Linked DNA regions of Arabidopsis thaliana. The protein of the gene in region 1 purifies or fractionates together with the protein of each later gene. This does not show direct contact. Each region holds a gene or a part of one and is shown on either strand. Other genes may lie near its edges. The genes, in order: GAPB and PRK.

Region 1 (5,319 bases):
AGATACATCCTTAAGAATTGTGTTGAATTTTTTTTCGTTGTTGTTTTATAGTGACCTAAAACTTTATTTCGATGTTATGTATTGCTATATTTTTTATTTGGTTGTAAAATTTTGAAGATACTTATTTAAAACCCATCAAACAATTTTTCTATATTTGTCATTGGACAAATAAGTTTTTCTAAATATTTTAGTTTCAAAAACAAACTAATATGATATTTAGACCCAAATCAGGTTTTCCAAGATATTTTACTCTTCAGAACGAATCGATCTTTAAACTATCTCCAATAGTTATCTCTATAATTTGTATAAGATAAAGTTATCTTAATGTTATTTCGGATATTTTAGTTTTCTTTAGACATATGCCGGATCGGATCATGTATAATAATGTCATTATCTCCATAACCGGATTAGATGACCAAATTGATCCATTTTCATTTCTCCCAATATTTATTACATTTTTTTTTTTTTGATGTAATATTTGTAATAAATATTTAAATAAATAATTACCACTGAATCGAAGAAGCTTTGCTTAGATATCATCGAACTTGCTCCAACTGCTCTATCTCAGGATCTCTCTCAGACACAGTTTCTTCCATCCATGGCGTCTCTTTCTTCTACCTCTCTCTCTCTCCCCAAGAATTCTCACCAACTCCATCCTTCATCTGGTAATAACTTCTTCAATCTCTCCAATCTTCGTGCTTTATAGATTTTCAATATCCTCCATTTTCGAGCTCATGAGATTCGTACAGTCATGTTACGATTTCTAATTTAGCATCTCACAAAACCCAATTTAATTGTGTATTGGACGATCTTGATTCCTTTATGTTGTTGGGTCCTTTCTTTTTACTTGTGCTGATTTGTCAAAACAATGCAAAATTAGAGCTTGAAGCTGTTTTGTTAGAAAACTGTTCAACTTGTTATGTATAAGTCACTGATTGTTGTTTGTTCTTGTTACCTTCTAGGTTTTTCTCTGAATCCAAATGCTCGTTGTGTCAGTGTTTCATTTGGACTGAATCACTCCAACAAACTTCATATTTCTGCTCCTAGAACCAAAAGGATCCTAACCATTCAATCTGCATACAGGTATATAACTTTATCTTATACAAATTATTGTTTGAGATGTCGAAAACTGTGGTTCTTGTTACTCCTTAATGTTTTGTGAGCATCGTAACATTTTTTAGTATACTTTAGTTTTCTATTGGCAACTTATGTTTACAGAGACAGTTTGCAATGTCTAATAGCATCAAAACTTGCAGAGATGATGATGGTTCAGGCAGCACAGGCCTATTCGTCGGAGGGTTTATTTTGGGCGGACTTATAGTCGGTGCCCTCGGATGTGTATATGCACCACAGGTAGTAATCTGTTACATGGTTTAGTTTGATCACTCTTAGAGCTTGTATTCGTTTCAATCAAGAAGTTCTTGAGTGGACTCGAGGAGCTCTGTAACCTTCTCTGTTTCACTTTGACTCATCAATGTGTGATGTTACTTTTGTGAATTGTATCAGATCAGCAAGGCTATAGCTGGAGCAGACCGAAAGGATCTCATGAGGAAGTTGCCTAAATTCATATATGACGAGGAAAAAGCTTTGGAGGTAAGTTATTGCTAAGCCTCTTGATTCATATTTTATCTCACTTTTTGTTGAATTTACTTATGAACAATGTTGTCTACTGTTAATGCAGAAAACACGTAAGGTACTAGCTGAGAAAATTGCTCAGCTTAACTCTGCTATCGACGATGTCTCCTCTCAGCTCAAATCAGAAGATACTCCGAATGGTGCAGCTCTAAGCACCGATGAAATCGAGGCTACAGCCTGAAATCATCTGTTTTTAGGATTTGAAATTGAATCATGGGAGATTACTTACTATGATCCCAATAATTGTTTTCCTTTCTGTGTAATGTTGTACAACTTTTCGTCTACTATCTTCAAATGACTGCTTTCTTCCTTCTTCTTTTTTTCTCGAAATCGCGGTGTTGAAGGATATATCACAGTTATATGCGAAACCAGACGTTATGAAGACTATATAATATCCTGATGAAAACTATATGACATGAAAAGAAGGATTAAAAAAATGAGTCTCTTGAGAAACTTGTGATCACTGGCTCACAGAATCTTATCCCCATATGTATCTTACCTACATAATAGCCACATATTACTTTGCTTCACTTTGAACCATTGGTTGGTTTTGATCAAAACCAAAGGATGTGTGTATGTATGTATATATTCTAACGCTCAAAACTGATCACTAGCATTCCTAGATTTTTCCTTCTTGTGATCACTTGCAGCTATGGCCACACATGCAGCTCTCGCCGTCTCAAGAATCCCGGTCACACAGCGACTGCAGTCTAAGAGTGCCATTCACTCTTTCCCTGCTCAATGCTCCTCCAAGGTATGAACTCCATCTGACTACTACATACCCTCTGTTTATGTGTGTGGTACAGTTTGTTTTATTGGTTTCTCTTGTTACTTACTTGCACAGAGGCTAGAAGTCGCTGAATTCTCCGGTCTGCGTATGAGTAGTATCGGTGGGGAAGCATCTTTCTTCGATGCTGTAGCTGCACAAATCATCCCTAAGGTAACTTATTTATTGATTGAATCAGTAACTGTATTGTTATCATGATTTGTGAATATGTGATGAGTTTGTGAAATATTAGGCTGTGACAACATCAACTCCTGTTAGAGGAGAGACAGTGGCGAAACTGAAAGTTGCGATTAACGGTTTTGGAAGGATTGGTAGGAACTTTCTTAGGTGTTGGCATGGTCGTAAAGACTCTCCTCTCGAAGTTGTTGTACTTAACGACAGTGGTGGTGTCAAGAATGTAAGTATGTAATAAACTTTGTGAACTCTTCTTGTGGAACACATTTTTGACATTTGATGAAATTTGCAGGCATCCCACTTGCTTAAGTATGACTCCATGCTTGGAACCTTCAAGGCTGAAGTGAAAATTGTGGACAATGAAACTATTAGTGTTGATGGTAAGCTCATCAAAGTTGTCTCCAACAGAGACCCTCTTAAGCTTCCATGGGCTGAGCTCGGCATTGACATTGTTATCGAGGTGAAATTTCTACCGAAAACTGCTTATTATGATGGCAAATCGCGCTACGGAACTTAGTTAATCGAAAACTGTATATGGTTATGATCATCAGGGAACAGGAGTGTTTGTTGATGGGCCAGGAGCAGGGAAGCATATCCAAGCCGGAGCCTCGAAAGTTATCATCACTGCACCAGCCAAAGGTGCTGATATCCCTACCTATGTTATGGGAGTCAATGAGCAAGACTATGGTCACGATGTCGCTAACATTATTAGGTCCGTTTAAAGTTAAACCTTTGATCTCATTAAAGCATGAACGAGTTTGAGTATTCATGCTTCAGTTTTGGTCTTTCTTTGCAGCAATGCATCTTGCACCACCAACTGTTTGGCACCTTTTGCTAAAGTCTTGGATGAAGAATTTGGTACATTTTATTTTCTCTGCTTCACTACATGTTTCAAAATGTTTTTTTTATAGCTCATACATGAACTGAATCACAGGAATTGTCAAGGGGACAATGACAACCACACACTCCTACACCGGAGACCAAGTAAGATTCCATCTTTTTGTCTATCTATCCATGTAGAAACCTAACGGAAGAGCTTGCTTGTATTGTCAAAAAAATAAATATGTTTGAAATGAATTGTTTCAGAGGCTTCTAGATGCATCACACAGGGACCTAAGGCGTGCAAGAGCCGCAGCACTGAACATAGTGCCTACCAGCACAGGAGCAGCCAAGGCGGTGTCATTAGTGTTGCCGCAGCTGAAGGGTAAACTTAACGGCATTGCACTCCGTGTGCCAACACCAAACGTCTCAGTGGTTGACCTTGTTATAAACGTTGAGAAGAAAGGTTTGACAGCAGAGGATGTGAACGAGGCCTTTAGAAAAGCCGCTAATGGACCGATGAAAGGCATTTTAGACGTTTGCGATGCGCCTCTTGTCTCTGTTGACTTCAGGTGCTCTGATGTCTCTACCACCATTGACTCGTCCCTCACTATGGTTATGGGTGATGATATGGTCAAGGTGGTTGCTTGGTATGATAACGAGTGGGGTTACAGGTGAGAGAGATATAACACATTACATGATATCATTTTATGTTTTAACCTATGATTGTTTGTTTATGTTTTGTGTTTGCGTTTGCGTGTTCGTGTTTTAGCCAAAGAGTGGTGGATTTGGCTCACCTAGTGGCTAGCAAGTGGCCGGGAGCGGAAGCTGTTGGAAGTGGAGATCCTTTGGAGGATTTCTGCAAGACAAACCCGGCTGATGAGGAATGCAAAGTCTATGACTGAACAACTTTGATCATTTCTTTCTTTATTTTTCACCAAAACAATACTTTGTATCATGAGTTACTTATTCGAAATCGTACTATGCATACTTGTTTTTCTCATAAGATTTTCTTGTCTGATGAACAACTATATGTTAAGACTGAGAGAATTGTATTTGAGAAATAACCATTTTATGCTACATGTTAAAACGGAATTTATTTGAGCAATGTATGACAAAAGAAATTGTTTGATTTGGTTTACAAATAAAGATGCATGAGTGTGCAACAAAATAATGAAACATTCAATCTAGAGAAAAGAGATTTGATATTTTCAACTTGATTTCTTTATTGTATGATGGTTGGAATTGATCTTTTTGAATTTCATAATACATATGTAATTTTTTTATATTAAAAATGAAAAATAAAGAAAGAATAAATTAAAATCAATGTAAGGTATTATACCATATAGTTTTTAAATATTAAAAATTTAGAACCAAACTCTTATGACGATTTCTCAATTGAATTTTTAACTTATGCAATAACAACAACAACAAAAAACAACAAAAAAAATGGTAGCAGGCTGATTTTTGAATTGAGTCTACAAAACTTTTAATGATGTAGGTGAAAAATGAGAAAATTGTACAAAATTTGTTAATTCAATCATTTTCATTGCAGCTCTTCAACCAACTCAGCCTTTTTTTCTCAAGCTTGTTTCTTTATTAGACTCGAGTTCCATCTTTTGTTCAGCTAGAAATAGCTTCTCTGGTTATTGAACCTATCAGAGCAAGGAATAGTCGTACACATTCTGGAAGTGAATCAATCAATCATTATAGTGGTGATTTTTTAATCAATGCTTTGGGCAAACTGTGCAAAAAAATAACAAATATAAAGAAAAAACTTTGGTGTATGCCGATATATTAAATAACAGATAAGTACTCCGTCTCTAACGAAGAAAAATATGTTCATACGATAGCGGCCTTGGCCAAACTAAATATAACTAGTATCCTAACTAATATGAGTTGTC
Region 2 (5,216 bases), 4.6 Mb from region 1:
GATGAACATCTTAGCGGATTTTGGAGAAGTTATTTGACACAGAAGGCGGGGATGGGGAGAAGCAGCAGGAGAAGAAGCTTATTGGTATGGCACGTGCGACGTCGGATCATGCCTTTAATGCTACAATTTGGGATGTTCTTGTTGATCCTGAATATCAGGTTAATCAAAACAAATGATATGGTTTTTGCATTTAGTTTTTGCTTGCCAATATAAATGCTTTGTGTTTGATGTTAATTGGTGTTTGTGTTTGTTTTCACGTTTCAGGGTCAAGGGCTAGGTAAAGCTCTTGTTGAAAAACTTGTAAGGGCTCTTCTTCAAAGAGATATTGGTAACATATCTCTGTTTGCAGATAGTCAAGGTAAAACATCGAATCACTGTTTAATCTGCAATTTTTGTGGTCAAAATATTTGGATTTGTTCTTACTTAGTTGTTGAATCTGTGTTCCTTTTTTGTAGTTGTGGATTTCTATCAGAACTTGGGGTTTGAGGCTGATCCAGAAGGCATCAAAGGCATGTTTTGGTACCCAAAGTAGTACTTGGTGATTGCAAGAAAATGGGATTGTTACTTGTATGTATAATTTCTTTGCTTTCTTATATGGAATCTATAAGGAAGTTTGAACTGTGTAATTTGTAATCCAAAAGCTATTTGACATTCAAGTATTCAACATGAGTATGATCAATAGGATAAAACTGTTCTTTCTTTTGCTTAGTTGATTTGTGGTTTGAATCTACTTTGATGCTGTAAAGAACAAATTTTGAAGGCGTTCTATAAACTGAACTGTTATTGCTCTGCTATTCACTTCTCTACATTACAGGCTTTTTCTTTTTATCTCCACACAAATTACAAACAAGCAAGACCGTCCTTTTCGCCATGAAAATCCGCGGTAAACAACGCATAAAGAAAGAAAGAAATAAGAAAAAGAAGAAACTGCGGATGTATTTATCGACGCGTTCTATTTGGCTTCGCTTCGTTTGTTTTAGGCTTTAGCTTCTGCACGAGCAGTGGCTTTGTTGGCAATGAGCTGCTCATAGAGATCTCTGATCTTCAATCCAACAATGGTTTGGAAAAGACCAGTACCGTTGTTGCTACCCGGGAAATCAGCATGTTTGAGCATTTGTTGAGTGACTTCTCCGTAGAATTTGGTCGAGAGGTTGCTCAAGTGACTTTCCACGTAAATCAGCTCGTCCAGTCTATCAAATTGTCCATCCATCTCCAAAACTGATACCTGAGAGAAACAAAAAGGGAGATATATGCAATGAGTCTAAATTCTCATACACATGCATTTTCATTCATTTCTCACAATATGTCATTATGCAATATGAATGTACCTCATGGTCGAAGTAGGAGTCAGGTTCGTAGTTGAACTTGATGCCAGGGTACGAGCAAGTGAGTTTGCGGCCGCAAGGAATCCACGAGATGGTTGAACCTTCATCGAACAGGTAAACCGGGCTGAAGTACTTAACACCTTCCTTCATTATCAATCTCACTCTCAACACTTTCCCTTCGTTGTCATCTGGGATCAGAGTCGTAGGAAGCACTTCTATGACCGCATCCGCGTACTGCTTTTGCGGGTCTGTATAAGCCATTGAAAATATTATAAACTGATCAAGCCGAATATGACACGGGGTTACATCAAGAAATTAGGAGTGTTACCGATGAATGCATCGAAGTCGGGCTTTCGGGCTTCGATACTCGCTTTGATGCTCTCCAAACTGTGACCTCTTTCAGCCATGTCCCTCTGTGACCATCAAAAACGTTACAGATTCAGTTTTATAAGATAAACCGAAAACGTTCCACAAAATGGTGTAAATGTAGTTGAATTATTCAAAGAAATTCACCTGAATTTTCCAAGCGAATTTGACTTCGTTGCTAATGTCCAAGTAGATACTGAAGTCTAGTAAGTCTCTTACTCGCTCATCAAACCTTCACAAGTAGATAAATATTATTATAAAACATTACAAGTACCAAAACTATAGACTTAATTATTCGAATAAAAATTAATCGGTGTCACACACTACATGCATAGATTCAAAGATCCATCTTTAATTATTCTGATACTGATTCTAGTATAAATCTAAGTCCAGATTCTTAATCATCGAAATTCCGACAAGATAAGAGACTTCCAAACTCTAAAATTTGAGTATGTCTAAGATACAAAACAGAGTATCATAACAGAGTATGTGTAGCTTACATTGGGTGAAGACCTTCGATGACAAGAATCTTAGGAGGCTGAATAAGCTCCGGAGGGTCAAGAAGTCCAGTGACATGGTTATAAATCGGTTTCTCGACGGCTATACCATTCTTAAGAGCTTTGACTTGCTCATACATGAGATCAAAGTCATTGGCGCGTGGGTCCAAAGCGGTGACTTTCTGCTCTTTCCTACCGTACCTATCCAAAGAATGGTAATCATCAAGACAGATCACAGTGGTCGTGTCGCTGATGAGTGTGTTGGAATCAGGGTTCCCGCCTTTTGGTGGCTTAGCAGCGCCACCAAAGACGCTGGTGAGCCTCCGCATAAAGGTACTTTTGCCGCAGCCAGAGTCAGCAGCTAGTCCGATCACGATGGTTTCTTGTGCGCAAGTGATGAGTGTGTTGAATCTACGGTTGGTTTGTGGTTGACGACGGTAGAGGAAGACTTGTTTGGAGGAGGAAGAAGAGGTTAAGAAATGAGTTGAATTGAGAGCTTGTGTTGAGTAGATAGTTGAGACAGCCATTGTTGTTTGTTTGGTGTTTTGGTCTCCTCTTCTTCTCCGCCTAAGCTCTTTTTTTTTTGTTTAGCTTTGTGAGCTCAGGTTGAGTGATGAGGATTTAGGATAGAATGAAAGAAATGTGGGTAACGATTTTTGATTTTATGGTTTTTTGTGTGGTGATATAGAGATGTGATTTTTTTTTTTTTTGAAAATAAGATTAAATGGGGAAAGAGAGAAATGAGAGGAGGACAATGGGTCTATAGGAAAAACAGATGGCAATTTGCAGAGAAGAAAAGGAGTTTTATTTTGTTTTGTTTTGGTTTAATGTGGTTGTGTGATGATTGGCTCATGTTTTGGTTTCTTGAAGTAAAATTGTTTGTAATGTTGATTAGTCTCTATGTTAAGATGTTGTTGATAAGATAAGAGGATAAGAAAACATTTATAGCCATTAAAAAACCAAAGATCATATCTTATTTACTTCATGAAGTAATAAACTTATGGTAATTTTGTTTGATTTTTTTGGCTAAAAGATAATTTGGAGAATAGAGTTTGGGAGAGGAGTGGAGTTGCCGATGAAGTGATAAAACTAACAGGGCATGGAGGGAGACGTTGCTTGGTGGTTATTTGCTTATTTTTTTGGGATTTGGATATTTGAATTGACACGTGGGAGATTCTAATTGGACAGATGGGGATTAGGTGTTTAAGGTCTGAAGATGAAGGAGAGAGTATTATGTGGGTCACATTTACACGTCACCGTATATCCCCCCTTGGCTTCGAATCTTTATGGTCTTTGAACAACTTACCTTTTTATGCTTTTATTTTTTTCTATAGGGATCAAAGCCTTCTTGCGTTACCTTAACAATGGGCTTCAAGCCTACCAATTAATAAAGACACCAAGAGTTTTTTTTTTTTTTTTTTTTTTGTGAACAGATACCAGAAGTTTATTACTCATGAATTTCACCGTAGGGTAATTAGTAAAAGAGATTACATCGGGATTAAAAAAACAAAACCATGGTTTATTTATCGACCGCGATAGAGTCGGCACTAGTTGCTTATTCTTGGACACATTGAACGTAGTCTCCACCAACCACCATACAACTTCCATGTCAAGCATGAAACTATAACGGGTCAGAGAATTTGTTAGGTTAAAAAGTAAAAACTATGGACTCACATTAAATCTTTCCAAAAAAATTACTTTAATCTCTTTTGAGTTTTGACTCATGGAGTTTGCAAATGAAAAAAAGTTCTTATTTTGCTCAACAGAAGAATTTAACGAAGTTTTATCTCTCTCGAGTCATGGTGTTTGCAAAAAAAAAAATTCATAAAGTTCACGGCCATATCGAAACATCTATACTTTGTTATACGCAATGATAATCAGAAGGACCAGATTCTAAGATTCAGACCGAAGAGAGTCGCTACTAATAATTCATAGCTATGATTTTTTTTTGTCTAAATAGTCCATCCACTTCGCCGAAAAAAAATCCCAAAAGCTAAGAGACGATATTGGTATATTACAGACCAGAGAAGAACAGAGTAAAAAACATAAAGAAATGGCCGAACAACCACTCTCTCTTGCTACTATAGTAACTAAAGAATTTACCTCAATCAACACAACGCATCAAACGGTAAAATGGTAATTACATTCATAGGAGATACACATATTTCAGACCTTATATCGTAAGGGAAAATTACCATCATCTTCCTCTTTATCTCCTTTTCACTTGTTTCCCCTAAAGTAGAGGTAAATTTTCTGCAAAGCCAAAATGGGAAACCAGATCAATCAAATGTTTACTGGTTTCATCAACGTCAACAGTTTTGAAGAAGCCATGAAAAGTATGATCAGAGGCTTACCTGAAGAACCCATAGACTCAGCAGTGACTCCAAGCAGAAGAGACCGAATCCGATAAAGTAGAAGATCTGCCATCATTCATTAGGGTTAGACACATTGAATATATTATAGGCGTCGTCATGAAATGTAAAATAGGTGTATAGCTCATACCCCAGCTAATAAACTGTCTGAGATGACATCAATTGCTGCAAGCACACCCCTGTTGATCGAAATAAGAGAAAGGGTTTTTAAGTTAATCTCAAGGCAACAAAACATACAGAGGTGAATCACAGCTAGATTCTCACTTCTACTTGTAGTCATAATCCTCATTATTTTGTAACAACTGAATATTAATAAACCTTTCAGAACAATTTAGAACTTTCCAATTGAAGCCCTCACCAGACTAACCAACTACATATGAAGTAAGAGTACACTCAAACGCAAGTAGAAACGTAGGCTATTATTGGAAGACTTACGTTAATGATTTTCCATGGAAAAAGATTGGAGGGGCGATGGCAGCAACGATGCAGAAGCCAATGTGAATCTGTAAGGAGCTCAGGTCAATCATGTGGAAAATGGAAGTATATCTACTTAAAGGTAAGATATAAATAGGTTTTATGAACTCACCAAGTAGGTGAAGAAAAACCAACCAAACTTCAAAGCACTGTCAGTCCTGCAAGGCCGTAAAATGTATTTC

Evidence for each region.
Region 2: the proteins of GAPB (region 1) and PRK fractionate together in Arabidopsis thaliana (co-fractionation; one large-scale study listed by BioGRID). This does not show direct contact.

What each region holds. Positions count from the first base shown.
Region 1 is NC_003070.9:16,125,265-16,130,583, forward strand, and holds GAPB (glyceraldehyde-3-phosphate dehydrogenase B subunit), read left to right. Parts: upstream 1-2,088; 5' UTR 2,089-2,287; coding exon 2,288-2,389; intron 2,390-2,479; coding exon 2,480-2,575; intron 2,576-2,654; coding exon 2,655-2,819; intron 2,820-2,888; coding exon 2,889-3,056; intron 3,057-3,147; coding exon 3,148-3,308; intron 3,309-3,392; coding exon 3,393-3,454; intron 3,455-3,530; coding exon 3,531-3,580; intron 3,581-3,682; coding exon 3,683-4,089; intron 4,090-4,187; coding exon 4,188-4,320; 3' UTR 4,321-4,631; downstream 4,632-5,319. Other genes in the region: AT1G42960 (inner membrane localized protein), read left to right, coding at 599-665, 963-1,083, 1,257-1,353, 1,507-1,593, 1,682-1,816. UniProt on the Arabidopsis thaliana protein: Involved in the photosynthetic reductive pentose phosphate pathway (Calvin-Benson cycle). Catalyzes the reduction of 1,3-diphosphoglycerate by NADPH.
Region 2 is NC_003070.9:11,530,167-11,535,382, reverse strand, and holds PRK (phosphoribulokinase), read right to left. Parts: upstream 3,185-5,216; 5' UTR 2,716-3,184; coding exon 2,192-2,715; intron 1,924-2,191; coding exon 1,839-1,923; intron 1,739-1,838; coding exon 1,654-1,738; intron 1,574-1,653; coding exon 1,329-1,573; intron 1,226-1,328; coding exon 977-1,225; 3' UTR 744-976; downstream 1-743. Other genes in the region: NSI (nuclear shuttle interacting), read left to right, coding at 43-158, 265-358, 456-532; SCAMP5 (SCAMP family protein), read right to left, coding at 4,409-4,441, 4,543-4,608, 4,691-4,739, 4,996-5,063, 5,147-5,192.